Caenorhabditis elegans: one gene and its partners. The protein of the gene in region 1 interacts with the protein of each later gene in a pairwise test. Each region holds a gene or a part of one and is shown in the gene's direction. Other genes may lie near its edges. The genes, in order: dnc-2, tct-1, imb-2 and arp-1.

The links.
Region 2: the proteins of dnc-2 (region 1) and tct-1 interact in a two-hybrid assay, tested with the Caenorhabditis elegans proteins (one large-scale study listed by BioGRID).
Region 3: the proteins of dnc-2 (region 1) and imb-2 interact in a two-hybrid assay, tested with the Caenorhabditis elegans proteins (one large-scale study listed by BioGRID).
Region 4: the proteins of dnc-2 (region 1) and arp-1 interact in a two-hybrid assay, tested with the Caenorhabditis elegans proteins (one large-scale study listed by BioGRID).

What each region holds. Positions count from the first base shown.
Region 1 is NC_003281.10:5,922,379-5,929,717, reverse strand, and holds dnc-2 (putative dynactin subunit 2), read left to right. Parts: upstream 1-3,963; 5' UTR 3,964-3,986; coding exon 3,987-4,094; intron 4,095-4,151; coding exon 4,152-4,218; intron 4,219-4,263; coding exon 4,264-4,678; intron 4,679-4,728; coding exon 4,729-5,056; intron 5,057-5,112; coding exon 5,113-5,190; 3' UTR 5,191-5,320; downstream 5,321-7,339. Other genes in the region: zmp-1 (Matrix metalloproteinase-A), read left to right, coding at 534-681, 878-1,013, 1,058-1,398, 1,681-1,934, 2,338-2,692; bcl-7 (BCL7-like protein), read right to left, coding at 2,923-3,206, 3,429-3,519, 3,567-3,632; C28H8.2 (uncharacterized protein), read right to left, coding at 5,321-5,374, 5,420-5,788, 6,303-6,368.
Region 2 is NC_003279.8:10,564,911-10,571,805, forward strand, and holds tct-1 (Translationally-controlled tumor protein homolog), read left to right. Parts: upstream 1-4,201; 5' UTR 4,202-4,223; coding exon 4,224-4,251; exon of another isoform or gene 4,252-4,502; intron 4,503-4,506; coding exon 4,507-5,024; 3' UTR 5,025-5,125; downstream 5,126-6,895. Other genes in the region: pas-5 (Proteasome subunit alpha type-5), read left to right, coding at 1,446-1,668, 1,718-2,052, 2,100-2,288; rplp-0 (Large ribosomal subunit protein uL10), read left to right, coding at 3,024-3,168, 3,215-3,540, 3,586-4,053; F25H2.12 (Methyltransferase domain-containing protein), read left to right, coding at 5,173-5,307, 5,347-5,532, 5,579-5,708, 5,755-5,861, 5,916-6,257, 6,305-6,430, 6,475-6,570, 6,625-6,717 and 1 more. UniProt on the Caenorhabditis elegans protein: Involved in calcium binding and microtubule stabilization.
Region 3 is NC_003280.10:14,361,723-14,370,278, forward strand, and holds the start of imb-2 (Importin N-terminal domain-containing protein), read left to right. Parts: upstream 1-3,978; 5' UTR 3,979-4,016; coding exon 4,017-4,052; intron 4,053-4,100; coding exon 4,101-5,492; intron 5,493-5,665; coding exon 5,666-5,999; intron 6,000-6,054; coding exon 6,055-6,387; intron 6,388-6,429; coding exon 6,430-6,645; intron 6,646-6,697; coding exon 6,698-6,948; intron 6,949-8,556. Other genes in the region: tebp-1 (SPK domain-containing protein), read left to right, coding at 301-485, 558-1,280, 1,326-1,787, 1,837-2,335, 2,394-2,582, 2,649-2,894, 2,944-3,153.
Region 4 is NC_003280.10:15,116,952-15,126,409, forward strand, and holds arp-1 (Actin), read left to right. Parts: upstream 1-3,349; 5' UTR 3,350-3,357; coding exon 3,358-3,450; intron 3,451-3,525; coding exon 3,526-3,965; intron 3,966-4,731; coding exon 4,732-4,906; intron 4,907-4,956; coding exon 4,957-5,094; intron 5,095-5,833; coding exon 5,834-6,112; 3' UTR 6,113-6,394; downstream 6,395-9,458. Other genes in the region: Y53F4B.23 (Neuropeptide-Like Protein), read left to right, coding at 7,612-7,694, 8,671-8,836, 8,888-9,075, 9,123-9,306.

The sequences.
Region 1 (7,339 bases):
TGAAAATATCAAAAATCTTAAAATTACTAAAATCTAGCAAAATATTTTTCAAATACTACTCAAAAATATTTTTCTTTTGAAATTCAATGGATGTTGGGTTAGGCCTGGTTTAACAAAAAAGTTCACAAATTTTTTTGTGGCTTTTGGTAAAATGTCTTTGACTCTGTATAACTCAACCAATGTTTGGTGTTTTGCAATAGAAAGTAATGCAGAAGAAATATAAAATATTTCTAATCATTTTGTTACTTGAACATTTGTTTCCTAGATGGGTATTTTTCAAGGTACGCCAGTTTGAAGATACGCAATTTAGCGAGTTTAGGAGGTTGTTTGGTACGTTGATTAGTGATCGTGATGTACATACATCTAGAGTCTCACTTCTTTCCCTATACCTTTGTATTATCAAATATCTCTTGATATTTGAGAATGGTTTCAATGACAAAAGGTAAAGAAAATGATTTTGGTGTCAATGGGTCCTTTCCTGTCTAATATGGTATATCGGGTCCATGAACAACAAATTTCCAATTCTCTTTCAGATGCAAAGCAGTTGGAACTTCAACACGAATCTCTCTAGATGACTTGAGACGGACGATGCATCAAGCAGCTTCTCAGTGGAGCGAACTTGCAGATGTGGAGATTGTGGAGTCGTCGGTCAAGAACCCGATGATGGTCATTTCCGCTGGGGTGAGAATAACCAAAACTATTTAAAATGTTGTTTTCGCCTACTTCACTTCTATGCATTACCTTAGCGATTGTACTGTGATGTAGATCAATTTTCATCTTATATAATTTTTGAAAAATTCAACTATTAGGATTTTTAATTAGGCGTTTTAGGTAGGCAGGTAGACAGACATTTCTATGCTATTGCAATTGTTTGCAGCGAGAAAATCATTACCCTTGTACTGTACGCTTTGACACAAAAACATTGGCTCACGCTTTCTTCCCGACAAATGGTCAAATTCACATCAATGACAGAGTTCAATTTGCAATGACTAATTACACAGAACGAATGGGCGGTATGTTAAAATTCAAGGTCTCGTAACGATTAATACAATTTTAGCAAACTCTCTTTACTCAGTAGTTGCTCATGAAATGGGACATGCACTTGGATTCAGTCATAGTCCGGATATTGATAGTGTGATGTTTGCATATGATACACCAAGGAAGTGGAAGTTTACTTCAATGGATAAATATAATATGCGATCTTATTATGGGGCAAAAGCTTCAAAAAAAGAAAATGAAGAAGAAGAAAGAAAAACTGAAAATGAGGATAAGAGACGGAAAACTGAGAAAGATAGAGGTAGAACACGGGAACATGAATCTGATGATATTCGACCAAATGAGTGTAGAGTGGAAAATCCGATTGTTGTGCAGTATCGAGGAGAATATTTGATTTTTAAGGTAAAAAATTACAGAGTACAAATGCAAAGTTCCGTTATTATTCCTAGCGGAAGGATACTGTACGCGGTCTCGGCACGACAGAAATTTTTCAGCTGCAATTTATAAGTGTGGACCTTTGAGGAATACCCTAGCTAGGGGCCCTAGTTTCGAATGAAATCGTGAAAAATGAAATCGAGACCAGTTACAGTATTTTTCTTTGCAAACAGCAAGTTTCACAAAATTTCGGTCACTTACCGTACCCAGTCACAGTACCTTTTCTCGAATGATCTAATTTATTTCCAGAGTCAATGGGTTTGGCGTGTATCGTCTGATTGGAAGCGTCTTATAATTAAAGCAGTTCCAATTAATCAATTATTTCCCGGACTACCAAATCCGATTGATGCTGCCGTCACTGTTGGGCACAATCTTTGGGTTTTTGTTGGAGAAATGATTTATGTCATCTATGGAAATCACATGGTTCACGCACCTCTTCGACTTTCGGATATCGGAATTAATGAGAAATACGTGGATTTGGCTTATGAGTGGCATTATTTCAAGTGAGTAATCAAAGCAGTTAGTAAAAAATAAATATTGAGTAATGATAATTGTAGGTTCAGCGAAAATTCGAAAGTTCGTAAACTTGAAAAATCGTTACTTTTTAACATATTTGTTTCAAGTTTGAAATGTTACCAAAACGTAACACATTGCTAATCAAAAATACTCGGGTCTTGGCACGAACGAAACTTTTCAGATATCGTACCCGCGATCGTTTAGCAGCTTTTCACCGATTTACTTTGATACTTTGAAAGATTATCTTGGTGTTTAAAAAAAACATTTATTTAAATATTTCCAAAAAGACGGTACATAATACATTTTGAGAAACTACTCTGAGGGTACGGTAGCTGAAAAGGTTCGTTCAGGACCACAACTTAATAAAATCAAATATAATTTCCATTTCAGTCCGCCTGCTGTATACATTTGGAAAGGATCTCGATATTGGAAATTAGACGAGAAAATGTATCATCGAAGAGTTGATGAAAGGTATCCAAAAGATACTGATCTGAATTGGGCGAGAGTTCCAAAAGGAGTACATTCTGCCTTCACTTATGAAAAAGAAATTCATCTTCTACGTGGAAATCAAGTTTTTCGAATGAATTCATCCCGATCTGTATTTGATATTGCTGATGGATATCCCCAACCTTTACAATCTTTTTTCGGATTCTGCCCTCGCAATGAGAAGCTTGTTCTGAATTCTTCTTCTTCACATTTTTCTTTGATCTATGCAACAATTACTATTTTGATACTCATCTTTTAAGATTTAAATCTCTCAATGGCAGATTCACTTGTAAAAACAGCACTGAAATGGGTTTTATTTAAAGTTTTAACTTGTTATTTTAACTGGTGAATACAAAAAATTATTAAAAATAAATGTGATGAAACATGAAAATTTTTGAATTAATGAGATAAAGTTCGGAATGAATCAGGATTATATGATACAACATGAAATCAAAATGAGTACAGATTAGAGATCATTAGATAAAGATTTTATGGTTGTTTTGATGTCATTTCAGCGTCGCGCATCGAACTGAAATCCGTTGAACCAGTGGCTCCACCTTGATAGTTTTGTGGCTCGAAAGTTTGATTGGAGTCACTATCAAAGTGATCGCCAGTGGAAAAATTGGAATCTTCGTTGATATCGAATTGTGGTGGTGGTTGGGTAACGCTGGTGGAATCCTGGGAATTCTCAGCAGATGGGACTTGATTGCTCTCCTCATCCACTTCTTTGACTTCCTTGATCTTTGGAGGAGCCATTATGTTTTGAGCGCTCACTGAAAAAGTTGTATTGAAAGTTTGGTTTTTTTTTTGAGAAATTCAAAACTTTTATATAGCAGAATATGTTATTAATTCATAATGCAGAGTCATTGAATTGTATCAAAAATATAAGTGTGAAGTTTTTTTTTTAATAATTACTATTTTAAAAAAGTATTTCATATAAATTTATATATAAATAGTTTCTAAATACCGAAATACGTGTTAAAATAAAAAATTACCCGGAACCCATTTGTAGATCCGAATATTTGTGTCCTTGATAAGAACTAACTTCTTTTCCCACCGACGAACTTTTTCCAATGAGTTGATAACCTGAAAATCTTAATATCAGTTTAGTTTTGGAAAAGTTGATTGTTTACCTTTCGGAGTTCATCTTTTGAGCGATTTCTTGTTTCAGCGCGATGAGATCTATTTGCTGAGTACATCTGAAACTTAAAAATTTAATAAATTTACAGAAAAATAAATAAAAAGAACGAAATACAATAAAACTGTTTAAATTCGAACAATCGAACGTTTTTGCCAAAACTGAACTCTGTCGCCTCTAATCTCTAATACGTGCCGGTAGAGCGCAGTAACTCATTGTTGTGTGTAGTCCTCTCGGACAATCTAATTTACTTGTTTCGCAATCAATTCCACGGCCATTTTGATGTTTCTAGCACGATTTATTACTTTAACCTATCATACATTTTGTTTATTCATTTTTCTAAATTTTTGCCGTTTGATCCTAAATATTTTAAATCAAATTCTGTTTTCTAGAAACTCTCAAATCTTGCGTCAAAATGTCATCTATTGGAAAAGAAGATATCTACGAGTCTGACGGAGCTGCAAGTCAAGTTCAAAAAAGTGAACCTGAAAATGACAATCCAACTCATCCGGATATCGAACTGGTTTGTATTTAATTAATTTAAATAATATAAATATTTAGTGAATTCTGATTTTTACAGATTTCGGTTGACGTTGACGAAGCTCTCAAAAAGTACAAAAACCGGGTACTGAACTTGACTTCAAGCGGTAATTTTAAAATAATATTACTTATCATCTTTTTTTTAAATTTAGATTTTTCTGACTCGATTGCTAAAAAGCGGCGACACGCATTTGGAAACAATCAATACGTATTGGAAGTTACTGGTGCAGGATTTTCGGGAACCGAGACTGCAGCCGAAAAACTGAATCGCATTTTGTACGAAGTCGCCGATCTGAATGAACAAATTCGTGCTGATGAAAATCTTAAAACGGATTTGCTCAACGCTGAGGTTCTTGAGAATCTAGAGAAAGAAGTGAAAACGTTGCAAGTGGCTCAGTCAAATGGAAAAACTGCACGAGTTGAGCATGATGTTGAGTTACCAAATGTTCGCACTGACTCGAAAGTGGCAACTCTTGAAAATAGGTTGAGAAGAATCGAACAAGTTATTGGAAGTTCGGTTATTCCATCAGCTCCCGTACTTGACACCATTGAAGATCTCAAACTCAGGTGAGATATCTTAAATTTAAAAAAATAAAAACGTATGAAAAATGTTTGAGATGCGAAACGCTTAATCATTCGTATGTCTCCGGTCTTGAACAACGTTTGAATATGATGCTTACCAAACTTGAAAAAATCGACGAGACACGCGCCAACAATGATATCGACGAGAATCTTGACAAGAAAGTTGATGAAATTCTGGAGCTTATGCAAAAATGGGATGTCGCTTGCTCATCTCTTCCAAGCAATGTTAATAAGGTTAAAGCATTGAACCGTCTTCACGAACAAGTTCAACACTTTGCCGGTGGACTATCACATTTGAAAACTATCAGAGAAAAACTCGAAAAGGAAGTCGCGCAAGGAAGAGAAGCGATTATCGAGTATGAGGTGTGTTTTTTAATTGTTTCGAGGAATATAAACAAATTAAATTATTGAAATTACAGTCCCAAGGAAAGCAAGAAATCGGGTCAGTGGTTGAAAAGCTGAAGCTTCTCGAGGCAAAAGTGGCAGATTTGAAGTGATTTTATCGACCTTTCTAGAGAAACAATTCATAATTTATTGTGTACGGACAATGCAACATTAACTAATCTGTTCGATATATTTATGTGCTTTATTTTTGCTTTCCATATTTCCGAATGAACCAATCTCTATTCAGCAATTGAAGGCCATACTCAGATAACGAACTCCCCATCCGACATTCTCGTCCTGAAATTTTCATATTTCTAAGTCAGATTTTTCGCGAAAACTCACATTAACCGCTCTGATAATCATATGAAAATGATCTTCGAATCCAAACCAAGATTGTGATGTAACATGGAATTCAACCGTCATATGAGAAGAATCTTTAGTCATTATTGCAAAGATAATACGAATTTCAGGATTGTAATGAGTTCTTGTATATCTATCGAAATATGATTTAAATCTGGCAAAATCCAATTCCTCTTGAATATGACAATCAGTTCCTTTTACTTGATCATCATAATAATTGAAATGCTCAATCATTTCTGTTTTATTTCGGAACATTCGTCGAAAAGTTCCCATGAAATATTGCAAGAAGTGAAAAGCATTTTTAGTTCTCACCATCTTCGGGAACATTGATCGTGGGTCACTGATAAAGTTCTGAAATATTTCGGTTGGTCCCGACATGAAAACTCAAGTCTTGATAAATTTCCACAATCTGCTAAATAAAGAATTCGCTAATTTGAGCAAAAAAAAAGTCATTTTATCGAAAAGTGTCCTAGAGCGCCAGCGTCTATGATGGTATACGGTATATTTTTTTATGTCGCGATTTTGCTTTGCTTTTTGTTTTTTTTTGTTTTTCGTTTGATTTTGATTCATAATATTTTTGAAAAACCAAAAATTTTATCCAACAAAAGGAGAAACGAAAATTTCGAAAACTACAGGAAAAAGTACCGTATCCTCTTGAAGGCGCATGCCTATTTTCGAAAACTTTTGATCGTGGTAGGACCTATAGCTTAGCTCTGTAAATAAATGTCGAAACCCCATTTTCTATGGCGAAAAATAAGTATTTTAAAAGTTGTTCACAATTAACCGATTAAAATTTACAAAAAAACACATTTAAATATTAATTTTTAAATGTCTGCATTACACTTTCTGGTGCAAATCAACTCACTGCAGTAACAGCATTATCCACGTAGACAATATAGCTGAGGAAAATGAGTAAACCGCAAAGCCTCATCATTCGAATTTTCAAATAGCACAAAATGAGGGCTTGGCGAGGACATCGACATGCTCCTGGAGAAAAGTGTTTTGTGTTGAAAATTATAGCTTTCCAAGGATTTATATCCTAGCTTCTTGGCACAATACAAAAAGACATGTCGACATGAAAAGGGCACGATTCTAAAATAGAACGAAGAATTTGTCGAAATTCAAGATTTAGATTTCAGTATAACATTAAAGGGGGAGGGGGGAAGGGGGTGTATCGCGCAGTAGTCTATAAATAAACATATTTTTCATTTGTTCTATTTACATGTAAAAACGCGTTCGAAGTGTTAGAAATGAATAATCGTAAAAAGATAGATAAATTGAGTAATCGAATTTAATTTAAAATTAAATTTCCTACCACGTGATGACGTTAATCTAGTACATCTTGATAAGAGTTACTATAATATATGAATGCAAAGTTTTCTTGAATTAGTCAGTCTGGCGGATTTAGCCAGTAGGAATGATCGTTTCTTAATTGGAGTGGTTCGCTTCGTTTTACGAAGTAGAGCAATTCGGTTTTGAAATGATCTATCCTACTTGATTAAGCCGTTAGCTCATTATTAGGCTTAGGCGTAGGGCCAGTGTAGGCCGTCTTGCTCATAGAGACAAATAAACTTTTTGAGATGGTTTTTTAATAGAAAATACATTTTATAGAAATGAGAAAAATAAAGTTTTACTATTAGAAAAGCGTAACAAAAAGCTTCCGTAATTATTTATATGAATGTTCCGATATTTTTAGCGATGTGTGCATCGTGCACTCACAATACTAATGTTATGAGCTTCCTTGCAATAAACGGTGGGGCTGGAAACTGACAGGAAGTGGGTTTATTCGATGATTACAATACCACAGGACTGATGACACGCGTAATCAAAAGTTGAAACTAGAAAACATAAACACGCGGCTTTCATCTGAATCAGAGACGAATATCCATAAATCACGGCCCC
Region 2 (6,895 bases), on another chromosome or scaffold:
GTGGATTGGCTTTTTTGGTGTTTATTTGGAAACGGTTTTAGTCTCGGCTAAAGCCAATTGTCCAAAAGTGAGCTGTTTTGAAACTCGCGTTTTATCAGGAAAAATGAAATTCACTTATTTAAAATTTTTAAAAACAATTATTTATAATAGAAAGCGTTTTTAAGGTTGTTTTATTATTCGAAGACTAAAAATTTCAATTCCAATGCTCTCAGCTGTCTCGGCTCTCTTTCTCTTTGATTCCAATACATGGGCGTGGCCGGCACTCACGTCCAACTTGGAAGCGAGCGGAACCCGTGATGTGTCGGCCGCCGCGCTCTGTCACCTCGAAGACCAGCGCTGCTTTCATCGAGACCATACTATACAGAATCATTTCTGCAGTATGTATCTCGTAATTCCCATCAAATTGGTAGAGATGCCAACTGCGATGAAAGGGAGACGGGCAGGTCGCGAGCGTGAAGCAGTCCTCTAATGACTTGATGACCGCACGGAGCCAATGAATTTTGGAGCCGTAGTGGCCTGCTCTTCTGAGCAGTTATAAATGTGTCACAAATTAGAATAATATACTAAATCACAAAACAAAAACTTGGATAATAAACATGAATTGAAGAGTTTCTATATAATTGTTCCGAACTTCGTCATTGGTGCCGCGGGGATTCTCACTATCAGGACAACTGTTTTATTTTCACTGTTTCCACATTCTGTTGCATTTTTTTGCAAAGATTTGTTCATGAACGTTCATTTCTCTCGATTTTATCGGGTGCGGATATAAAAATGTTGACAAATAATTATTAATTAACTGGTTATTTTTGTAAATACAACAAAAAAACATGAGAACCATTCAATTCAAAGAACTTACATTTCCCGACACTTTGATTATTTTCCTATAGAGCTTTTTAAAAGCTTTTAGCGTTAAATATAGCTAGACGAAAAATCTATTAGTAAGCGAGTCTCATATTCATTTTCCCTCTTTGATACGTTATTGGAAATCTCACGTGTTGAATAGTTTCATATTCCCAAATTACTTTTGATTCCAACTATTTAATATTCATCATAAAACTTTCTTTAAAAATTTCATTTCGAAATTCTGCCTTTCGCGCCAACACGAGAGACGCAGACACCGCGACGCGCACGCCGCGAATTGTCAGCATCTCACTGCAACCTGTTACTTCCTATTTTCAGCTTGTTTTTGTGTTTTTCTAAAACGTTTATTTTAAAAATTGATTTCAGAAATTACAGTAGTAAAAGGTTTTTAAAGGCGCTTTCTTTTAATCGCTTACTGGGTCTCGACGCGATGATGACTTCGCAATCTCATTGGCGCCCTTTCGCTCTCTTCTTCTTAACTTTTTCATTCTTACTCGCGACGACTATCCCACCTCTTCCATTTTTTTGTGCTTCAATATGTCCAATGTTGCTTCGAATATAATTTATTTACATTTCAGCCAGTCATGTTCCTCACTCGCAGCGAGTACGATCGTGGAGTCAACACTTTTTCTCCAGAAGGGCGTTTGTTCCAAGTGGAATACGCTATTGAGGCCGTCAAACTCGGATCTACAAGCATTGGAATCAAGACGAGCGAAGGTGTTCTTCTCGCTGCTGAGAAAAGATCGACATCGAAGCTGATGGTCAATGACGCGATCGAGAAAATCAGCAAGGTCGACCAACATATTGGTTAGTTCTGTGAACTGTTTATCATCTTAATTTATAAGAATTGTTTCAGGCGTCACATTCGCAGGTTTGATTGCCGACTCGCGCACTCTGGTCGAACGGGCACAGATCGAGGCTCAAAATTTCTGGTTCACTTATAACCGCAAAATTCGCGTGGAAGACGTCACTCAGTCGGTCGCCAATCTAGCTCTTCAGTTTGGAGACGACGACGTCAAAGCATCAATGTCTCGTCCATTTGGTGTAGCAATGCTGTTCGCTGGTGTAGACCAAGAAGGAGCCAAACTGTTCCATCTCGATCCATCTGGAACTTTCATCGATTGTAAGGCTAAATCGATCGGTGCAGCTAGCGATGGAGCTGAGCAGAATCTCAAGGAGCAATATCATGATGTAATTTCGTCAAATATGGTTATACAGGAAAATGTATTTTATTTCAGGCTCTGACTATCAAGGAAGGACTCAAGATGGCATTGGCCATTCTCAAGCAGGTGATGGAAGAGAAACTGAACTCCGCCAATGTCGAAGTCGTTGTTATCAAACCAACAGTTGACGCGAAGGGGCGTCCAATCGGAGAATTCACAAGAGTGTCGAACGAAGAGCTCGATCAAGTTATCACATCGCTTTGAAGAAATTATTCTTTCCTGGTTTTTTGTCTCTTGTTTCTTATGGTGTAAAGTAACTTTATTTGCGATGTTCAGCTATTTCAATAAATTATTTGTCGTTCTTTTATACATTTTTGAAAGCGCCACACATTCAATACGTCCGCACCCTTATAAATGATCATATCTAATATTCCCAACCAGGAGTTACAGTATTCAAAAAAATTTATATTAGAACCGAGCTCGGCGACGAGCGAAATCATTCTAAAAAGAAAACTGATTAAATGTAGAAGTATATACACCGATTTTCTGATTTTGACATCACCGGACTCGAATATTTTAATTGGTGTTGAAATTAATCAATAATTTCTCTGTTTTTTATTTAGAAATATCATGATTTGGAGGTTTTCCCTCCACTTTCAACAAAATTAATGATAATTCTGGTGTCGATTTACGAGAAAAGTTAAAGGCGCATGGCTGCTGCCGCCTTGAGGGTCTCGTGACGAAACACATTTTCTGTTGTTGAGAGGCGAAACATTCAGTGTTCCTAAAATTTTTTCACTGTTTTTCCTTTTCCTTGTTGAAAATGTGATCGATTTTTTCAAAATTTGATTAATTTATATTCAAAAATGTGAATCCGTTCAATTCTGTTGCACTAAAACCACCGATTTTCAAAATTGTACATTTTCAGACCTCAGTTTTAATATAATTTATTTTTTCAGTCTTTAAAACGTAACCGCACGCGATCCTTAATTCACCAAGATGGTTAGGGAAGACAGATCTACTTGGAAGGCTAACTACTTCACCAAGCTTGTCGAGCTTTTCGAGGAATACCCAAAATGCCTTCTCGTCGGCGTTGACAACGTTGGATCCAAGCAAATGCAAGAGATTCGTCAAGCCATGAGAGGTTACTATTTTTAATATTCTCAATTCCTTTAAATCGTAATTTTCAGGACATGCTGAGATCCTTATGGGAAAGAACACCATGATCCGTAAGGCTCTTCGTGGACACCTCGGAAAGAATCCATCCCTTGAGAAGTTGTTGCCACACATCGTCGAGAACGTCGGATTCGTTTTCACCAAGGAAGATCTCGGAGAAATCCGCTCCAAGCTTTTGGAAAACCGTAAAGGAGCCCCAGCCAAGGCTGGTGCCATCGCTCCATGCGACGTCAAGCTTCCACCACAGAACACTGGAATGGGACCAGAAAAGACCTCTTTCTTCCAGGCTCTTCAGATCCCAACCAAGATCGCCAGAGGTACCATCGAAATCTTGAACGACGTTAGTTTTCATTTTTAATAGTATATTGTAATGTTTTCATTTTAGGTCCATCTCATCAAGGAAGGAGATAAGGTCGGAGCTTCCGAATCTGCTCTTCTCAACATGTTGGGAGTTACTCCGTTCTCATATGGATTGGTCGTTCGCCAAGTTTACGATGATGGAACCCTCTACACTCCAGAAGTTTTGGACATGACCACCGAGGAGCTCCGCAAGCGTTTCCTTTCTGGAGTTCGCAATGTCGCTTCCGTCTCGTTGGCCGTCAACTACCCAACTCTCGCTTCCGTCGCCCACTCTTTGGCCAACGGACTTCAAAACATGTTGGGAGTTGCTGCCGTCACCGATGTCTCCTTCAAGGAGGCCGAGACCATCAAGGCCTTCATTGCCGACCCAAGCAAGTTCGCTGCTGCTGCTCCAGCTGCCGCCGCTGCCCCAGCTGCTGCTGCTCCAGCCGCCAAGAAGGAAGAGCCAAAGGAGGAATCCGACGACGACATGGGATTCGGTCTCTTCGACTAAATCCACAAGTTGTTCTGAATTTGTTGTTAATGAAATGTTATCTCCAAAAAAAGCGTTTTTAATTACTTTTCTTTGTGGTGTTATCGAACACTTAACTATATCTCTATTTTTTTGTTTCTTGTTTGAATTTTTAATCTCGTAATTTCAGTTACTGGCCCCATCCTTCAAAAATGCTGATCTACAAGGATATTTTCACCGGTAAGATTTCTTTTTCTGAAGAAGTTTTCCACACTCCTTAAGCTAGTTTGACTGTGATTGTGCATTTTAGATCGCTTCATGAGTTCGCTGCGTTTTGCTGTGAATTCATTGTTGCCCTAATTTGTATAGTCATGGGTGTCAAATTGGCGAGTTACGTGTGGTAAATGGATGACGATCAAATTTTGTTCTGTGAACTTTGCCGTAGATGTGATGCTGTTTGTTTATAGATTGATAATGATTGTCGAACAATTTCAGATGATGAGCTCTCGTCCGACTCCTTCCCAATGAAGTTGGTTGATGATCTTGTTTACGAATTCAAGGGAAAGCACGTTGTCCGCAAGGAAGGAGAGATCGTTTTGGCTGGATCCAACCCATCTGCTGAGGAAGGAGCCGAGGATGATGGATCTGACGAGCACGTCGAGCGTGGTATCGATATTGTCCTTAACCACAAGCTCGTTGAGATGAACTGCTACGAGGATGCCAGTATGTTCAAGGCATACATCAAGAAATTCATGAAGAACGTCATCGACCACATGGAGAAGAACAACCGTGATAAGGCTGATGTCGATGCCTTCAAGAAGAAGATTCAAGGATGGGTTGTCAGCCTTCTCGCCAAGGATCGCTTCAAGAACCTCGCCTTCTTCATTGGAGAGAGAGCCGCTGAGGGAGCTGAGAACGGTCAAGTCGCCATCATCGAGTACAGAGATGTTGATGGAACCGAAGTTCCAACCCTTATGCTTGTCAAGGAAGCCATCATCGAGGAGAAGTGCTAAACTTCACTGTTAAATCATTTAATGTTTTCAATGAACTATATATACTCCCCTATCACATATCGATTGCAACAAAAACATAAATTATTGTCTCTAGTACCTTGGTTAGAATGGTTTGGAACAAAAAATGTAATTTTGTAACTTGAGTTTCATGGAAAGTTCCAAATTCGATGAAGTTGTCTCGAAGTATCGGAGGATCTTGAATAGTCGTAGCATCGAATACTTTGCTTCGTCGTCTTGGGATTTGCTTGAAGATGAATGGAGAGAGTACCTGAATCTAGAATCGGTTAGAACAAAAATGTATCTAATCTAAAATTATATTCAGCTTGAAGACGTCATAGTCTTCGTAAATTCATCGGATAATCTTGTGTCAGCTGATTGCGCCTCTATTCCACATTCTCTGAGAGACTTGAAAGCAAATCTTAAACTTTTCGAATACAATAGGAAATGTGTGGAAAATCCTTCAGATCTTTGGCGTCAATGGACAGGAACCACAAGAGATGGGTTAAATGTAGTTATAATCTTGAAATTTTAAAATATAAAATTAACAATTTCAGGCATCTTTCCGTACAATATCGTCGGCGAATGGATTGGTAAGGAAGAGGATTAAAGCGAAGAAACAACACGAAATTGATAGAATTGTGGAATTAATCTCACAAATTCAAATATTCCAGAAAGATTCGGCAGGTATTCAAAATAATAAACTTTTCGAATCAGTTGTCGAATTTTGCAGATCCCATAGACAGTCTGGTGGATATTGGTGCTGGAATTGGACATTTATCACGTATGATCTCAATTCATAATAATATATCGGTTATGGCTGTGGAAGGAAACCAACAGGTGCGTCAAAATCACAAATATTTGAACATAAATCCAAAAAAAAACTCGTTTCAGTTCACATTGGCTGCAAACTCGCTCGATGAGAAATTACTTCTGGATTCTGCAAAAATCGGATCTCGCATTGAAAATTTCAACGTCAAATCAACACCAATTCGATACACCAATTTTGTAACCGAAGATCTTGCTTTGAAAATCGATGATTTTGCTGTAAACTCTGCAATTTTGGTCGGTCTCCATTGTTGTGGAGATTTTTCGTCGACAATTCTCAAAGTTTTTCAAAAAAGTGAAAAATCGAAAGCCCTAGTGCTTTTTGGATGTTGTTACCACAAAGAATTTCAATGCTTTCATTTTTTACGACCAGAAAATAATGAAAATGAACGAGAGATTTCTGAAAATGTAGGTTTTAAAAAATTATTTAAAAAATAATTTCAGTTAATTTGCAGACGTCTTTTGGAAAGTCAACAGTTTTTCCATTGAGCAAGAAATGGGAAAACGTCGAAATAGACTATTTACTTCGAGAAGCAGCTTGCCACAACAACGAGAATCTTGAGGAACGATTTCTGAAACAGGTATAAATTAATAATTATTTCTTATCACAAATTTCTATTTTTAGAAGATTGATCTTTCACGATATGCTCGATCATATCTGGAAAAATGGATTTGGAAAGTTTCCGAGTTGCCAGAAGATCGGAATATCGGGATGTGTTCGGTAGGCCCGATAGTTTAGAAATTTAGCTATTAAATTCAATTTTTCTCATTTCAGGTAAAATGTATTGAGAATCAGACAACGTTTGAAGAATATATTCGAAAAGCTATGGCAAACCGGGGAAATCATTTACTGGATAAAGTTTTGCAGGTTAATATTAAATATTTTTTTAACATAAATTACTAAACTTCTATCTAATTTCCAGATAATTCCACAATCTGAACTATCCGCTCATGTCTCTTCTCTCCGAAGCTCTCAGTTCGATTCGTTTGAAGTTCTCCGATGCATGTTTGCTCCAGCGATTGAGTCAGCAATTATCGACGATCGA
Region 3 (8,556 bases), on another chromosome or scaffold:
ATTAATTAATTTTATAATTATGAAAAATTCAATTACCCCTTAAAAGTGTGTTTCATTTTTTTTGTGTTTTTTTCTGTCCGAAAAACAAAAACAAAAAACCCATTTCGATTAACTTTTTGCATTTGAATAGGACCGTGCACTTTTAAGAAATCATGCCAAAAATAAAAAAACCCAAAATATTTTAAAATTACGGCAATTTGGCACGATGTTTTAACAAAATAATCCAAAAAAACGACGTTATATTTTCTATCAGTTGTCACGATATTTCGGAAACATATTCATTTTCCATATTTCAGAAAAATGTCATCTCGAGCAAAGAAGAACAAGCCGTCAAGACCGTCATTCGACGATGAGCTGACCATTTGGGAGTTCATTCACGAAAATACGTGTAATATGGAGATGTTCAATGAGGTTAATTTGGATTTGTTCAAGGAATATCTACAGGAACATGAGTCTGTTTTCACGGCAGAGCAGCTTTACGAGTAGTAAGTTTTTCTTTTTCATTTGGATTTTTTTCACTTTAACGACACGAAAAGCTTTAATTTTCAAATTTTCAGCTACGTCACAACAATGAAAGCCACTCTCTACAAATGCGAGATGGAACCAGAAAAAATGCTCACTCTTTACAAGAATCTGGAGATCGAGGTGACTCCGCATGTCGAGATTCTACTGGAGGCCAAATTCAAAACTGTTCTGCGTGTTGACTCAAATAGACGTCTTCAGAAGTTCTCCGACTTTTCAGCAAGGCCAGTCACTTGTGGATCCGTATCGAGAAAAGAGAAAGTACCGGAAACTATTCCAGAAACACTTGAAGAAACCGTCCCAGAAACCGTCCCAGAACCCGAACGTCTTCAAAATCGAATGCCGCTAGATGTGGAAATTTCTGATTCCTTCGAGAAGGCAATGTGGAATCATGTCTCCCAGAACGCCGCCCGTCTAACCGGAAAATTTTTGATGACTGAACAATTTTGGGCCGAGCTGCTCCAATCACAACCGAATATTCCCATCAAGTCGGCTCACATTGTGCTCCACCATTTCAACGAAATGATGCTCGAGAACCTTTGGAAGCAGGCGATGGATCCGGATGCGAAACTGCAGATATTAAAAGACTTGTCGGTGCCATTGAGCTATCATCAGCGTAAATGGATTCTCGACAATGATCGGCTTGATGTGGCTTTGTCACTCGACGGATATGTAGTCAGCTGGGATATTGTGCGAGACCAGCCAGCTCCACGTAGCAAAATTCTTACCTGGACCCCAAGAACTCCGATGAGGAACAGGTATTGGAAAATATCATTTTTTAAGTTTAATTATAATTATTTCAGATCTCCCAGTCTTATGGTATTTCACGACGATATTCGTCCACCATCTCCGATTCAAGTCGTTTCGGATCCAACATCTTCATATTTCCGTTCAAGAGCTTCCACGGATCAACCAGGACCTTCAAGCCATCGATCACAGTCAGCTAATGTACGTGAAACGTATGCGCCGAAAAAGATTCAGAAGCGAGAAAAATTCACACTCGACGATCATATGTGTGCATGGAAGTTCGTCCATGAGAAGATTGTCGAGGCAAAGAAGGAAGGTGTCCAGTTGATGCCAAAGGGAATCGCGTTCTGGAGAGATTTTGTCAAAGTCTCACGATCGTCGAAATCTGCAACCAATTGGAGTTCGCACTTTCGAAAGATCATGTGCCCAGCACTCCACGAAATGCCACTTCACAAGAGAACAATTCTCTATCTTCTCAAGCATATTGATATTGAAATTGATGAGGAGGCTGAGAAGCTGTAAGTTAAGATATCGTTCATAATCCATCGTATAAATAATCCTTTTCAGCATCGAGCGAAAGTTTAACGTGAAGCTCCGTGTTGGCACAGACCGTAGCTTGATTTCTTATAGGCTCTTGGATGCGGTTGTGAAGGGAGAAGTGGTTGAGAAGGACAAAAAATCGGAAGAAGCTCGTGAGATAGAGGCCATTGATGTTGATGATGGCGATGCGGATGTAAAACAAGAAGTGGTTGAGAAAGACGGAAAAGCGGAAGAAGCTCCTGAGCACGAGGCCATGGATGTTGAGGATGACGATGAAGATCTGGATGAAACGATTCCACTAGAATCAGATGAGCAGATGATGGATGAAAATCTCGATACATCGGTTGCTTCTAAGAAAGAAGCAATGGACGTCGACGAATTGTCTAACAAAATGACGGATGCTGTGAACAATCTCCAGAAATCTATCACCGAGAGTACAAACGAGACTACCGTTCTCGAAGGTGCAGCTGCTGCTGTGATCTTGCTCTCTGAGTCGCTTCAAAATTTCTCCAGGGTGGGAATGGAGGTAATTTTACACTTGAATTATAATCTTAAAGACTGAATTCAATTGTTTTTTTTTTCAGAAATCGTCCTCCGACGTCTCATCATCATCTGAGCCAGTGTCATCAGCCGAGCCAGCTGCCGCTGCGCTCGTGCCGTCTGAAGCCGGTCAAGGATCTCGAGACGTTTTTACATCACAATCCGACTCAACGATTCCAGAGTCTTCTAGCTTTGATGAGCTGCTTCCAAATTCGTGCAGGGTGAAAATGGAGGTAATTTTAACCTGAATTCACTTGGATGATGATTTTAAAATACTGATTTAAAGTTTTTTTTTTCAGAAGTCATATTCCGACATCCCACGATCAGCTGAGCCAGTGTTCAAGGTTCCTATGATACCAAATCGCCTATCCCACAGCGCCTCCAATGGTTTAAAGCCGGCCGAGATTTCTCCAATTTTGGTGGATTATGATGCTCTGAACTCGCAAGTCGTTCAGCAAGTCTTGGACGATGCCGACGATAAAGATTTGGAATTGATACACGAAGCGTTGGAGAAAGCTTTTGGAAATCAGGAAAATTGGACTGACGTAAGAAAAAAAGAAATAATAGAAATTTTATCGGGTTTTTTTTTTCCAGAAGTCCACAGCGAAGACCGTTACAATCGGCACAATTATCAAGGCGATTGAGACCAAATTCACAGGAATCTCTCGTGAAGTTCTTCTGGAACAGAAGGAATCCATTGTGGAAGAGGTTCTCGGCAACGTCGAGAACGAGAAGGTTCTCGAAGTGCGCACAGAAGCCATCCGGGAAGCGCTCATTGAGGCTGATTTTGGGCCAACCAATTAAATAGATTTTGAAGTTCTGTTTTTTTCTTTTTCCCATTCAATTTCTCTCACAGTTAATGGGCTTCTCTCATTCCTTACCCCTCGCCCTAGTCATAAATAACTGTTTAACATTTTTTTCTATTCTTCTTTTCAATTTTTCTCAACATTTATGGATTTTCCATTCCTTTCCTCTAGTACAATTGTGTTCAATTTGTTGTTCTCTAAATGGATCTCCCGTTCATTACAAAAACTGGTTAAATAACACTTCTCCAAATGAACGTGTTTTATTCATTTTTTATTTGTCAAATAAACATTTTAAGCTTTAAGTTAACTTTTTTAATTTTTTTATTAAATAACTTCGAACACGGGAATTTTTTATATCAAAAGGTGCCTACTACAGTAATCAAAAGTTAAAGGAACATGGCTTACAGGTTACGGGTCTCGCAGCGAAATTCTAGCTTTGAAACATTTGTCATATTTTTTTCCCATGATCATGATAAATACGTTCCCCATATTTGTTACAAAATATAAAACAATTATTTTCAAATTTCCCTTGTGAATGCTGGCGCGTATTCGGTTTGGCGTCTTTTCCGTCCACCCGCAGTGCTCTTTTCTGCCGGCAAAACACAATTTCTCCCCTTCTCAGCAATTCAGAGAACGCGTCCTCATCGATTTTTGCTTCTGGCTGCAGGATTTATCTCCATTTTATTTAAAATATCAATATGGTTGATATTTTGAACACAAATTTCAATTCTGCAGAAATTACTGCATTCTTGACATCAATCCGTAAAATCTTAATTAATTGCTCGTTAAGAAGTTTAAATTTACGATTTTAATGTGTTTCTTTTTTCAGAACAATTTGGAGCTTTATGCCGACGAATCAAAATGGCTTTCCAACCAGACCAACACGAATTAGAGCAGGTGAGCGTCGTTAAAAAATCGATTATTTCGCAAAATCCGAGTTTTCAGGTAATTCAACTCTTACAACACGCTCACTCCACAGACAGAGATGTTCAACGTAATGTTCAAGTGCAATTGGTACAGCTCAATGAGCATCAGAAGTTCTGTTGTTATCTGGTTTACATACTGAGCGACATGAAGGAGATGATTGACGCGACGAGTCGATCGCTGGCCGGCTTGTTGCTTAAAAATAATATTCGAGCAAAATGGAATAAGTATCCGCAGGACGTGAAGTTTTTCGTCAGGACAACATGTTTGAAAAGTATAGGCGATCAAGAGCCACTGATTCGTGCGACAGTAGGTATCATTGTCACGACTATCGTTATGGAGGAGAATATGTGCGATTGGCCGGACCTTCTAGACACTCTGGCCACAGTTCTGATGCAACCCGACGAGCTGATGCAAGAAGGCGCTCTTGGAGCACTTCAGAAGGTTTTCGAAGACTCGGCGGATCGGTATGAGTCGGAATTTCTTCGGCCAATCATGCCGAAGCTTCTTGTTTTCTATGAGCATCATGCTGCGAAGATGCGGGCTCTTGCAATGAATTGTGTGAATTGCATTCTAATGGTTAATAATGATCCAATTGATTTTGCAATAGATCAATTTCTTACTTCGCTTTTCGCTCGCCACAATGACAATGATGAGGAGGTGCAAAAACAGTTATGTAGATCGCTGACGCTTCTGCTGGACACACACATCGAGAAAATGATGCCTCATTTGCCGAATGTCATAGAATATATTATTAAGAAGACTCAAGATCACAACGAGTCGATTGCCTTAGAGGCCTGCGAGTTTTGGCTTTCAATTGCTGAGAATAGTGATATTTGCCGAACAATGGTGCTTCCACATCTCGATAAGCTCATACCAGTTCTGCTTGGCTCCATGCGATATTCTGAGACAGATCCTGCGTTGAAAGCTAATGATGAAGATAGTTCGGTTCCTGATAGAGAGGAGGATATCAAGCCTAGGTTTCATAAGTCGAAGCAGCATGGTCTTGGTGGCCTTGTGGAGTCGGATGATGAGGAAGACGAGGACGATGATGACGATGGTGGTGGCGACTGGAATATCAGAAGGTGTTCAGCAGCATCTTTAGATGTTCTGGCTTCTATTTTTGGAAAGGATCTGTTGGATAAGCTCTTCCCCCTCCTCAAGGACACATTGATGAATGACAACTGGCTGGTCAAAGAGTCTGGAATACTTGCGCTCGGGGCAATCGCGGAGGGATGCATGGACGGCGTTGTGCCACACCTTGGCGAGCTCATACCATTCATGCTGGCTATGATGTTTGACAAGAAGCCACTCGTTCGATCGATCACGTGCTGGACGCTGTCCAGATATAGTTCGCATATTGCATCCGACGAGAACTTCAGGCAACAGTTTTTCAAGGATGTGCTCGCCAATGTGAGAATTTAGAATATATAAAAAACCTCGTAGTGCTTCAAAAAAAGTTTAAAAAAAAACTAGACTTAATTTGCAAAATTGTTTTAAAAGATTTAAAATGGGGTACTCTTTCAGTTAAATTCTAGTTGAACGCAAGTAATGTACTAAATTGAGAAAAACAAATTAATTTTCAGCTTCTCCGCTGTTCGCTCGACGGAAACAAGAAAGTTCAAGAAGCTGCATGCTCTGCGTTCGCAACTCTCGAAGAAGAAGCTGGCGAGCAGCTCATTCCATTCCTTGGCGAGATCCTCGATCAACTGGTCAAGGCGTTCCAGTGCTATCAGGCAAAGAATCTTCTGATTTTGTACGATGCCATCGGAACACTAGCGAATTCTGTGGGCGACGCGTTAAGTCATCCGGTTTATGTGCAAATGCTCATGCCGCCGTTGATGGAGAAGTGGGAGCGGTTGAGTGACGAGGACAAGGAGTTGTTCCCACTTTTGGAATGTATTTCTGCAATTGTTTCAGGTTGGTAAAAGAAATAACTAATTATAAGATAGTTTCGACTTCATACTTTTTACAGCAATGGGACAATCCTTCCTTCCATACATTCAACCGGTATTCACAAGGTGCTGTAGTCTCATCGAAAAGTGTGTTCAACAAAACCAACAACACATTATGGCTCCGGATCAAGTAGAAGCTCCCGAAACGGACTTTATCATTGTGGCGCTTGATCTCCTCTCGGGACTCGCTGAGTCGTTACCGGAACATATGGATCCCTTGGTGGCAAACAGCAAGCTGGTCGAGTTGATGTTGTTCTGCTCGTTAGATGTGACGCCAGACGTCAGACAATCGTGCTTCGCGTTACTCGGAGATTTGACGAAAGCGTGTCCAGAACGAGTGCTCCCACAGAGTAGTAAGTAGCTCCCGCGTCTACAGATTTGATAAACATTTTCAGAAATCTTACAATTTGCAGGCAATTTCATATTTTTTCTCGCCCAAAACCTGGATCCCTCCAAGATCAGTGTGTGCAACAATGCGATTTGGGCGCTCGGAGAGTTGGCGCTGAAAATGGGTCCCGCAATGAAACAGTTCATCGGGCCCATCATTGAACCTCTGATTGTTGTCATCAATAGCCAGCAGAATATGCAGCGGACGTTGTTGGAGAATACTGGTGAATATCTAAAAATAGTAAAAGCTTGGAAACTAGGTATTTAAATTTACAGCCATCACAATCGGCCGTCTCGGACAATGTTGCGGTGAAGAGCTGGCTCCCCATATCAGCCGATTCGTTCGCCCTTGCTGCTACTCACTTCGAAATATTAAGGATAACGCGGAAAAAGAGAGCGCGTTCATCGGTTTATGCAATATGATCAACATGAATCCCGTCGGAGTTCTCAATGATTTCATCTTTTGGTGTGACGCTATCGCTTCGTGGACAGTACCGACCGACTCACTTCGGGTTCTTTTTGCCGGGGTATTTGAAGATTTTCGATTTTTTTCTGACAAAATCGAAAAAATGTCGATATTTCATCGATTTTTGAATATATTGATGAGAAAAAACATCAAAAAATATATAAGACTTCAAAACAGCAAAAGCCCTCATTTTCAAACTAGAGAAAATTTTTCGATAAAAATGCAATTATCGAAAAACAAAAATTTCCGATTTTTTAAATAGAACAATCGATACGAAAATTGACAAAAAAAAATTTTTTTGGAAATTAGAAAAAGAAAACATTTTTTTCATTTTTCGGTTTTTTCAAAAATTCTGAAAAAAAAATCGATCGTCGACATAAACTAACTAGGGAATGGTGTTACCCCTGCAATTGCTAGGAGGACAAAACAAAGTGAAAATGGAAGATCAGATCTATGGCTACAAGAATCAGTTTTTGGAATCTGCTTAACTCGGTCCCAAAGCTGAAATTTTTGGCCTTAAAAATTAGTGCTTTTTTTGCTGAAAATCCCATTTTAAGTGTGTAGAATTGGCTACACAAACGTTTTGCACTGCAGCCACCGTTCGAATAGCCGATTGGTGAACACTTGCGTTCATTAATCCAGACGTCACAGGTTCGTCCCCCACTAGGTGTAATTTTTTTTGAATTTTTTCTCGAGCATAAATTATCCACAAAAACGCGGTTAATTTCGTTTTTAAATAGGTTCAGCATAAATTTTTTGGTTCCTGGAAAGCATGAAAGTCATGTGGAAACTTTTTGGAAAATTTAATTTTTTTGAAAATTTCAACTTTTTCTCCATCTGTGGTATGAAGATTTTTTCCAAAAAAAAAAAAAATTTTTTTGTTGAAAAGGGTTATGTAGTGTAGAACAGTTTTAATTTTGGTAAGTTTTTCAGCTATTACCTTCAGATAAGATAACAACCAAGTTATCAGAAACATATTGAACAATCGTTAGTTGTCGCCGCATCATGGGCGCAATCAGGTACTACAATTCAACTTTTTCAGACCTAATTAATTTTTCGAGGTTCGAAATGTTGAACCGCGAAAAAACAGAGTTTGCGGGATTTTTTGAATTTTACTTTATATTTATTTCCAAAATTGTGAGTTATTCCATTATTTTATTCCGTATTCGTAATGTCTTTGAACATTTCCAACGTCCTCTTTTTGCTGCACCAAAAATTCCCGGATCCTCTACCCGACAACCCAATTTGTACAAGAGAAGAAACGAAGCTTGCCGGTCATTTGGTTAATATCCTCAAACTGGCTGTGGATCACGATATTGATGTTGAAGAGCGCGACGAAGTTGCTGACGAGACTTTCAGTGATTGGGATTCAATAGAATTTGAGGTACGTAATTATAAGTCAGTGAAACATTAAAAAAATTTTATAGTTCTAAAATGTCCAAGTATCATATTTTGACTGTGAATAAAAAATATTTAAAATTGATTTTATTTACAGCCAAAAAGTGCTATATACCTAATGTTCACCTATCCTAATTTTGAAAGTAGACAAGGTTCAAATTTGAACCAAATGCTCGAAATCACTCAAAAACTCACACTTTTGGAACATTTGGTTATTTACCGAACGTTTGGCAATTTGCCAAAACTTTGACTAAAAATTTTTAAATAGATT
Region 4 (9,458 bases), on another chromosome or scaffold:
TATTATAGAAAAGTGCAATTTTTGTCGTTTTTCTAGTTTGGATGTTCTGCACACTATTGCAGACGAAAACCTGAGGTAAAGTAGAACCCCTAAGCTCAAAAAACGCACTCACTTCGGATGCTGATATCTCCGTGGGAAAATTTTTAAGACAAAGTAATAAACTACAAAGTTGTATATCTTAATCTAAAGTACAAGGTAGTCAATGATATGAGGTAGTCAATGAGCAAAGGTAGTCAAGGCTGGGAGTGTGTTTAGAAGTGACCTTTGCAGTCCTCAATACCATTAGAGAAAAAGTAAAAGTCAATTTTCCTCACGTTATTAAAAATAAGAAAAAAAAAAAAGAAAAAAAAAACAATTTCTATCCCAATTCTTTTCAAAACTACAGTTTCGGCTCGATATACCAATGAAAGAGCACAGTGTAAACTTATTTTCAAAGTTCTCACGGCGACTCCAATCACTCTACATCAATATAAAACTGAAATTTTAAAAAGGAACCCCAAATGAAAGACAGCGTATGAATTTCACTAAAATACCAACCGATGACTAGTGATTTCGATCCCAATTCTTTTTAAAACTACAGTTTCGGCTCGATATATCAATGAAAGAGCACAGTGTAAACTAATTTTCAAAGTTCTGATGGCATCACCAACCATCAAATTACATCAATGTCAACACATCAAAATACAACGGAACATTTGAAGACTAGAAGGCCACTCGAATGAGTGTTGAGTGGGCCTCGAGAACCACCATCGGATAACACCTCGAGCGCAATCAACGGTTGGATTGTCCTGCTCTTGTCGACGAAGGACATACAAACGGAAAACCACAGTAAGTTTGCCAGAAGGATCATAAACAGTTCACAAGTCAATAGTATTCTAGGACCTTCCCCCGAATTAGCAGAAAAATAAAAAGAGTTGCCCAGGAACACATGAGTGAAATTGCCCAGAATTAGATGTGGTCAATCAATGATGATCCTATACGGCAAAATTAACAGGGAATACTCCACCTGTATTTGGAAAGCGTGGAGATGTATCCGGAAGCACGCTGTGCATGCTAGCCTTCACTTTTTAACCCCCGCTCAAGCGGATAAAACTATGAACCAAACCCAAAATCCGTGGCACTCTATTACTACTATTAAAATAGAACTGGAATATCGAAAGCGGAACCCCAAATCAAAGCAAATAAGGAACAAGAAAAGGAAATGTGACAATTCTTCCATTTTTGAATATTCAAACTTCGGGGGATCCAGGACTCAAGCCACTCTCGCCTGTGTCCTCCATCTTTCCATTTAGAGCAAGTGTTATCGGATTTTTGACTGATAAGATGCCTATTAGGTAGGCACAGCAGGCTCGGAGGAAGCCGCCCCCCCCCCTAAATGCCCACCAACAAGTCTACAAAATGACCCAGTGTAGTATGCACTTCCGATATTTTTCATTAAACCCACCGCGGCAATGCAATTTCGAAGAGATCCACCACGAGTGTTCCCGTTTTCCAATAATGACTCCTTCAAAACGACGACAATTTGCATGTGGAGCGAGTGTTCTAAGGAATTCCAGGGATCTTCTGATTGCAAAAACTGTTTCCGGAGCTGAAATACATAACAAAATTATTTCAAATTCCCCTCGGTAAATATATGTATTCTTTTAAACAAGCTGAAACTCACCCTAGTCTTTCAGGACTTTCAATAAATAGAGTTCTTCGGACCACATCGACAACAGTCGGCCATTAACCAGTACGTCTGTTTTTCATTTCTCTCGCCAAAATTTTCATATGGTGCAATTGTAGTCGGAGTCTTGACAACAGATTGACAAACTTCTATGTGTCATGTAGATGTCCTCCTAAATTAAAAATTGTTAAAATGTGGCAGAAGACACATGCGCAATACCTCAAACATGTCATCACTCAATTCCGATCCAAACTACGATTATCTGATGTTTTCGTATCCATTGTCTTTATCAGAACTTCCTTTAGTCATGCGAGCTGGTACTTGTACTGGCGTGGTGGTCACTGAAAGTAAATGAAATTTCTGTCGGAATTTGTGAGAAAAAATGAAACATGTTTAACTTTGCAAAGCTACAAAAGATTATTTCGATAAACAGTTTTCAATTATGGAAAAAGAAACGAGCAGAAAATATGAAAGCAACAAGGATTTGAAAGCAGAAAACAATAAAAAAAAACTGTGCACCACAACGGTCTGCAGACAGCACTCTATTGTGAGAGACGCCGAGAGAGGGAGGAAGAGGGCCATGTTGCGCAGAGATCACAACACTGCGGGCACTGTGCCAAGTATCATTCCGGATGGGAGACGTGTGTGTGTGTGTGTAGTATAGACGACAAGATTAAAAAACAATGCAAGAGGCGTTTGTTTTTGTAGATCACACGTAGATCACAATGTATTTGTAGATAACAATAAAACAGAAATACGATTTGAGAGATAAATAAACTGTGATCTACGCAAAATTTACACAGAAACTGCTGAAAGTGATGACTACTGTATACGGTTCGAGAAACTTTCGAGAAACTTTCCCCAACAACTTTCTCCAACTTTGGACAACTTTCGGCGAAGAAATACAAGATAGGATATTCAAATGAATGAAAAATGTTTTTTGGTTTTATCAACTTACTTTTTGGTTCAGGTTTTTTTTTCTAGCAAGCCATTTTGTTTTCAAATGCTAATTTGTCTTGTATGTAGTTAATAAACTTCTATTTTCGGTGAACAAAATCTCGAAAACTTCATTTAAAACTTGAAATTCATCAATTCCCACTGCAAACTGCGTATCGGAATTCGGAGTCTCGTTTGGCCACGCCCACTTTGTTGTTTGAACTTCAATTTTGAAATTAACAGTTTAGAGCTCTAATTAGAGCTATATATTGCAAAATATTTCCAATGTTTTGGTGATTAAAAACTGTAACACATTTTAAATAAATATTTTTATGGAAAAATTTCCAAAAAAATCCATGAAAATTCCACAGCAACGGAAGTTTGAAATTACAGTACTCTTTAAAGGCGCGCGCGTAAGAGGATTGCTTTCTTTTTGCTCAGGTCCGCATCGAATCCTGTTGTAATATTTTGCCAGAAGTATAGGTGCATGTATTCTTATTATACTATTGGAAAATCAATAGTTTCCGATACTCTCGCTATGTATTTGTTCAGCCTCTGTCCTCCAAAGTACAAAACCCCCATTTCTCCGCGCAAATGATGCATTGTCCGCAAACACGGCGGCTGCAACTCTGCGTACATTTCGCAACTCTCATTTAATTTTGTTTCCACAGAAAATGCCAATTAATCCGGGGTTTTTTAATTGTTTCAAGCTCAAATTTTGGTTAAAACTGTTATTTTATCTTTCAGGTTACAAAATGGACTACGACGTCATCGCCAATCAGCCTGTGGTCATCGACAATGGCTCCGGAGTCATTAAGGCTGGTTTCGCCGGAGAACAGCAGCCAAAGGTAGGCAATAACGAATCAAAACTTGAGATTTTTGAATTTTGAATTTTAAATCATCTTTTAATTCATTTTTTACAGGTTCGCTTCGCCAACTTCGTCGGACGACCGAAATATCACAGAGTAATGGCCGGAGGGCTCGACGGAGACATTTTCATCGGACCAAAGGCCGAATCAAACCGCGGGTTGTTCTCAATCGAATACCCAATGGAACACGGAATCGTCAATAACTGGAGCGATATGGAAAAAATTTGGGAGTACATTTTCGGACAGGATCAGCTGAAAATCTTCCCAGAAGAGCATCCAGTTCTGCTCACCGACGCCCCATTGAATCCGTTGAAGAACCGCGAGCGATCTGCTGAGATCTTCTTCGAAACGTTCAATGTTCCAGCGTTATATATTCAAATGCAAGCTGTGCTATCGCTGTACGCCACCGGAAGAACGACCGGAGTCGTTTTGGATTCAGGAGACGGAGTCACACATGCTGTTCCGATTGTTAAGGGATTTGCAATGAAGCATGCGTCAGTAAACTCTGGGAAATTGCTTTAAAACACGCCTATGTGGTCACAATGACCGAATATCATGATAAAAAAATTCAAAAAAATTTTCTAGATTTTATATGATTTTTTTTTTTTGAAAGTTGCGAAAATCCCAGTTTTCCCCTAATTCCGGTTTGAATTTCCGCCATATGAATTCGTTCGCTGGAGCGCACTTGCATTTCATTTTATTTTTTCTCATTATTTCACTGGTTTTTCTTCATTCTTTGTGTATTTTTATCGGAATAAGAGAGAAAAATTCAAGATAAATTGCAAATTATTTATTTAAAAATCACTGAAAATGCGTAAAACTGTAAAATTATGAGTTCCGGCGATAGCAAACCTGAAATTAGCTTAGTTCACAGTTTCACCCATTTTCAGTGATTTTTAAATAAATAATTTGCAATTTATCTTGAATTTTTCTCTCTTTTTCCGATAAAAATACACAAAGAATGAAGAAAATCAGTGAAGTAATGAGAAAAAATGAAATAAAAATTTAAATTAATAAAAATAATGCAAGTGCGCTCCAGCGAACGAATTCAATTGGCGGAAATTCAAATAGGAATTAGGGGGGAAAACTGATATTTTTGCAATTTTCAAAAAATCATATAAAATCAGGAAAATTTTTTTGAATTTTTTAATCATGATATTCGGTCATTGTGACCACATAGGCGTGTTTTAAAGCAATTTCTCCATTGGGCGCACTCCACCTTTAAAAAAAGCATTTAATTCTAAAATTTCCTTTTTTCAGAATTCAACGAATGGATTTGGCGGGTCGCGATGTCACCGAATACCTCCGAGTCCTTCTGCGCAGAGAAGGATACGAGTTCCACAGGAGCAATGAGTTCGAAATTGTCCGAGAGATGAAGGAGAACGCGTGCTATTTGGCGTTGGATCCGACGAAAGTGGAGAATAATTCAGTGAAAGTAGTGATTTTTTTTGCAGTGAAAATGAGCTGAAAATCGCATTCTTTCAGTCATCCTACGCTCTGCCAGACACCACGAAAATCGAAATCTCCAACTCATTGTTCCGTGCGCCGGAAGTGCTCTTCAAGCCGGATTTGATCGGAACCGAGTGGCCTGGAATGGCACATGTTGTCAATCAATCAATTATGGTAGGCTCACAGCCTGCTCGGACGAAAAATCACTTTTTCAGACATTTTTGCTTAATTTTTGGTGGAATTTCGTTGGAAAATATTAATTGGCACATAATATTGCTATTTTAAGTGCACATTTTTCATCTTTTAGACTTTTTAACTTGATTTTTCGTTTTGGAAATGTTTTAGCTCTTAAAGTAGAACAAAAATCGAAATTTCTACAAGATTACCATATAAATATCAATTTTCTGTTGAATTTTACCCAAAAAATGCGAAATTTCTTTAAAACGAGCCTAGCCAAGTGATTTTATCGATTTTTATCTTATTTTCCACCGATTTTTCACGTTTTCAGTGTATTTTTACAGGAAGTTTGAAGAAAAGTCAAGAAAAATGCGAATTATCGATTAAAACTCAACATTGAAGGTTTACGCCTTCAACGCTGATTTTTAATTGATATTTCGCATTTTTCTTAACTTTTCCTTCGAATTTCCAGTAAAAAAATACTGAAAACATGAAAAATCGGTAGAAAATTAAAAAAAAAAATCGATAAAACCACTTGGCGCGAGGTTTAAATTTTTTAAAGCTATTTTTCAATTTTTAAAAATCATATAAAATTTAGAATTTTTTTTTCTATGATATTTAGCCACTGTGATATCAGAGGAATTTTTTTAAATAAATTTTCAGTTAAATTTTAGCCAAAAAATGCGGAATTTCTAAAAAAAAAAAACACCCATCAGCTCAAACTAAATATTTCCAGAAATGTGACGTGGATCTTCGACAAACTCTGTACAGCAACATCGTGCTGAGCGGTGGAACGACGTTGTTCAAAGGATTCGGCGATCGTTTGCTGGGAGAAATGCGAAAAATCGCGCCCGCTGACGGAAAAATTCGAATTTCCGCGTCGCAGGAACGAAATTCGCTCACATGGATCGGCGGTTCGATTGTCGCCAGTTTGGACACTTTCCGAAAAATGTGGCTCGGAAAGAAGGAGTACGAAGATATGGGAGCGTCGGCGATGCACAAGAGATTCTTCTAAATATTGAATTTTTTCCCTTTTTTGCTCACTTTTCATCGTAATTTATTTGTTTTTTTTGCATATTTTCCCCCTTTTTCTCCCTAATTTGTTCCATTTGGCGCTGGCTCAAAAATTCTTCAAAATTTTCTCAAAAATAGGCGACCTTCTTCAAAAAATGTTATATAGCCCGATTCTCTGGACATAATTATTCAATTTACCCCCTCCTCCCCCAGTTCCGTGTCCCACTATCTGCTTTATGCCTGTTTCAATTATTATTTTTTATATCTAAACGATTCGATTTTTATGGAATTCTTCAATGCAATTTATTACAGGTTCCCGGCAGCTCAATGGAGCCGCTGCGTCAGGCGGAAACTGTGCAATTTTAAGACATGAGGAAAATATTTTTAAAAAAAACTTTACGGAAATTTTCCGAATTGCCGATTTGCCGGAAATTTCAATTCCGGAAAATTTGCCGGAAATTTGCCGATTTGCCGGAAGTTTCAGTTCCGCAAATTTGCCGGAAATTTTCAATTCTGGAAATTTGTCGATTTGCCGAAAATTTCAATTCTGGAAGTTTGCCGATTTGCCGGAAATTTCAATTCTGCAAATTTGCCGATTTGCCGGAAAATTTCAATTCTGCAAATTTGCCGATTTGCCGGAAATTTCAATTCTGCAAATTTGCCGATTTGCCGGAAAATTTCAATTCCGGAAATTCGCCGATTTGCCGGAAAGTTCAATTCTGGAAGTTTGCCGATTTGCCGGAAATTTCAATTCTGCCAATTTGCCGGTAATTTCAATTCTGGAATTTTGCCAATTTGCCGATTTGCCGAAAATTTCAATTCTGGAAATTTGCCGATTCGCCGGAAATTTCAATTCTGCAAATTTGCCGATTTGCCGGAAAATTTCAATTCTGCAAATTTGCCGATTTGCCGGAAATTTCAATTCTGCCAATTCGCCGGAAATTTCAATTCAGGAAATTTGCCGATTTGCCGGAAAATTTAAATTCCGGAAATTCGCCGATTTGCCGGAAAGTTCAATTCTGGAAGTTTGCCGATTTGCCGGAAATTTCAATTCTGCCAATTTGCCGGTAATTTCAATTCTCGAAATTTGCCGATTTGCCGGAAATTTCAATTCTGCCAATTTGCCGGAAATTTCAATTATGGAAATTTGCCGGAAATTTGCCGATTTGCCGATAGCTAACGGAATCTTCATTTTTTGAATTACACATATTCCTCCAATTGAGTAAATATAAAAGTCAGATTTTTCAAAAAACTACAACCTATAACTACAAAAAAGTCACACACACACACACCTCTTCTAGTTCCCTGTGATTTTGGTCTCTACGCTCTGAAATGGAGATGAGGTCATTTTTGGAGATGAAGAGATGATAGCAATAAGATGCTATTTACTTCATTTCGAAACTGGTTTTTCACCAATTTTTTTTTATTCTGCAAAAAAATATCATTTTCCGTTTTTTTGATAGAATTGAATCCCATTGGACTTCCGATAGACCGGCCGCGATGAAAATTTCTTTGATTTTTATTGCTTTCATTGCGATTTGTTCCAGCACAACTGTCTATAAAGTTAGGAAGGTGATTCGGAGGTGAGATGGATTAATAATTGAAAAAATAATCAAGTGAGTCTCAAATTAAGTTTATTCTCTGTATTACCGGGAACAATAAATCATGAGAATGCGTACGTGGAGCATTCTATTTGACGCGCGATATCTCTTACCGAAAACTACAGTAAGAACTTAAATAGCAATAGTTATTTGAGTTCTTACTGTAGTTTTCGCTAAGAGATATCGCGCGTCAAATAAAATGCTCCACGTACGCATTCTCATGATTTATTGTTCCCGTAATAATTCTACAAAATTGGTCGGTTGCACCATGTTATTCCAACATATTTTCATTTTTCAAAATTTTTGTTTCAGGCCATTTTTGAGCATTTTCACAAACATTTCAACTAAAATAAATGTTATTTTCAAATAAATCAAGTGATTTTCTATTTTTTGACACTAATTCTCAAAGAAAATGTTGGAACAACATGGTGCAATAGTCTATTTTGTACAATTGTTGTTCTCAACTAAAACTTTCAAGTAGGCACAAAACTGCCTACCTGCCTTCAAAGTATTTTATGCCTGCCAAGTGCCTACCGACAATGTTAATGTTGAAAATATGCACACGTAATTCTTCAAAAATGGTCGATTGCACCATGTTCTTCCAACATATTTTCATTTTTCAAAATTTTTCTTTCAGGTCATTTTTGAAGATTTTCTGAAAAATTTCAGTTGAAATTAATGTTATTTTCAAATAAATCTAGCGATTTTCTATTTTTTAACACTAATTTTAATTGAAAAATGTCGGAAAAACATGGTGCAATAGACCGTTTTGTAAGACTACAATTGTTGCTTTCAACTACAATTTTCAAGCAGGCACAAAACTGCCTGCCTGCCTTCTAGGCAACGTGTACCTGCCTAGTGCCTACCGACAATGTTTATCTTGACCATATCAAACTCTGTCTACCTGTAAATCAGTACCATTCAAAATTCCATACACTCTAAAATCTTCCAATTCCAGAGCAGAAGCCCGCCACTCCGCCGCCGATGATGACCTGGACATGGCTGCTGCTGAGCTGGTGTTCAAAGAGCAAAGTTCACTGAATTCTGGGGCTGACAGAATTGAGGGACCTCCAAGAAAGCTCCCGTTCGGCACAGAGCATGCAGCTGAGAAGGCTTCTGAGCATGTAAGGCGCTTTAAAACCGCTATAAGATCCATAAAAATCACTATATTCCAGACTGGTGCTCCATCCGCTGAGCCAACCTTCTCAGACCTCCAAAAAACACAATTGGAAGACATCAAAAATGACGAAAATGCTCTAGCACTGAAAAGTAGTATGGTAGGCAAGGGAACTGAAGAGTCCGATGCTCCATTTGCTCATGGAGTTAATGATGGGGAGACCTCCAAGGTTCTGGCGTGGCAGAGGCGAGTAAGCCACCTAGGCCATGTATCTCTAATCCAAATAATTCCAGACCCCTAGCCTCGCACGGCCGCCAAGTCGCCTATGACTTCCACGTGAACCCCGAGTACCCTCAATTTGCTCCGAGAGCCCATGGCTTGGTAGGAATTCCGGATGGCTGGAATCTTGATAGAACGATCGATGAGGAGTTCAAGTCTGGTTTTCGCAATGTGAATTTCAGACGGCGTCGGCATTGATTTAAATTCCAGTTTTCTCCCCAATTACCTTTCAAATTCAAGGATTTTTTTGATACTCAAGTTTATAAAATGAATAAAAATGTTTATGAATAAAATATTTCACGACGAGGCCCGCAAAACATGTTGTTTTGATGCTCATGTTTCAAAACGTA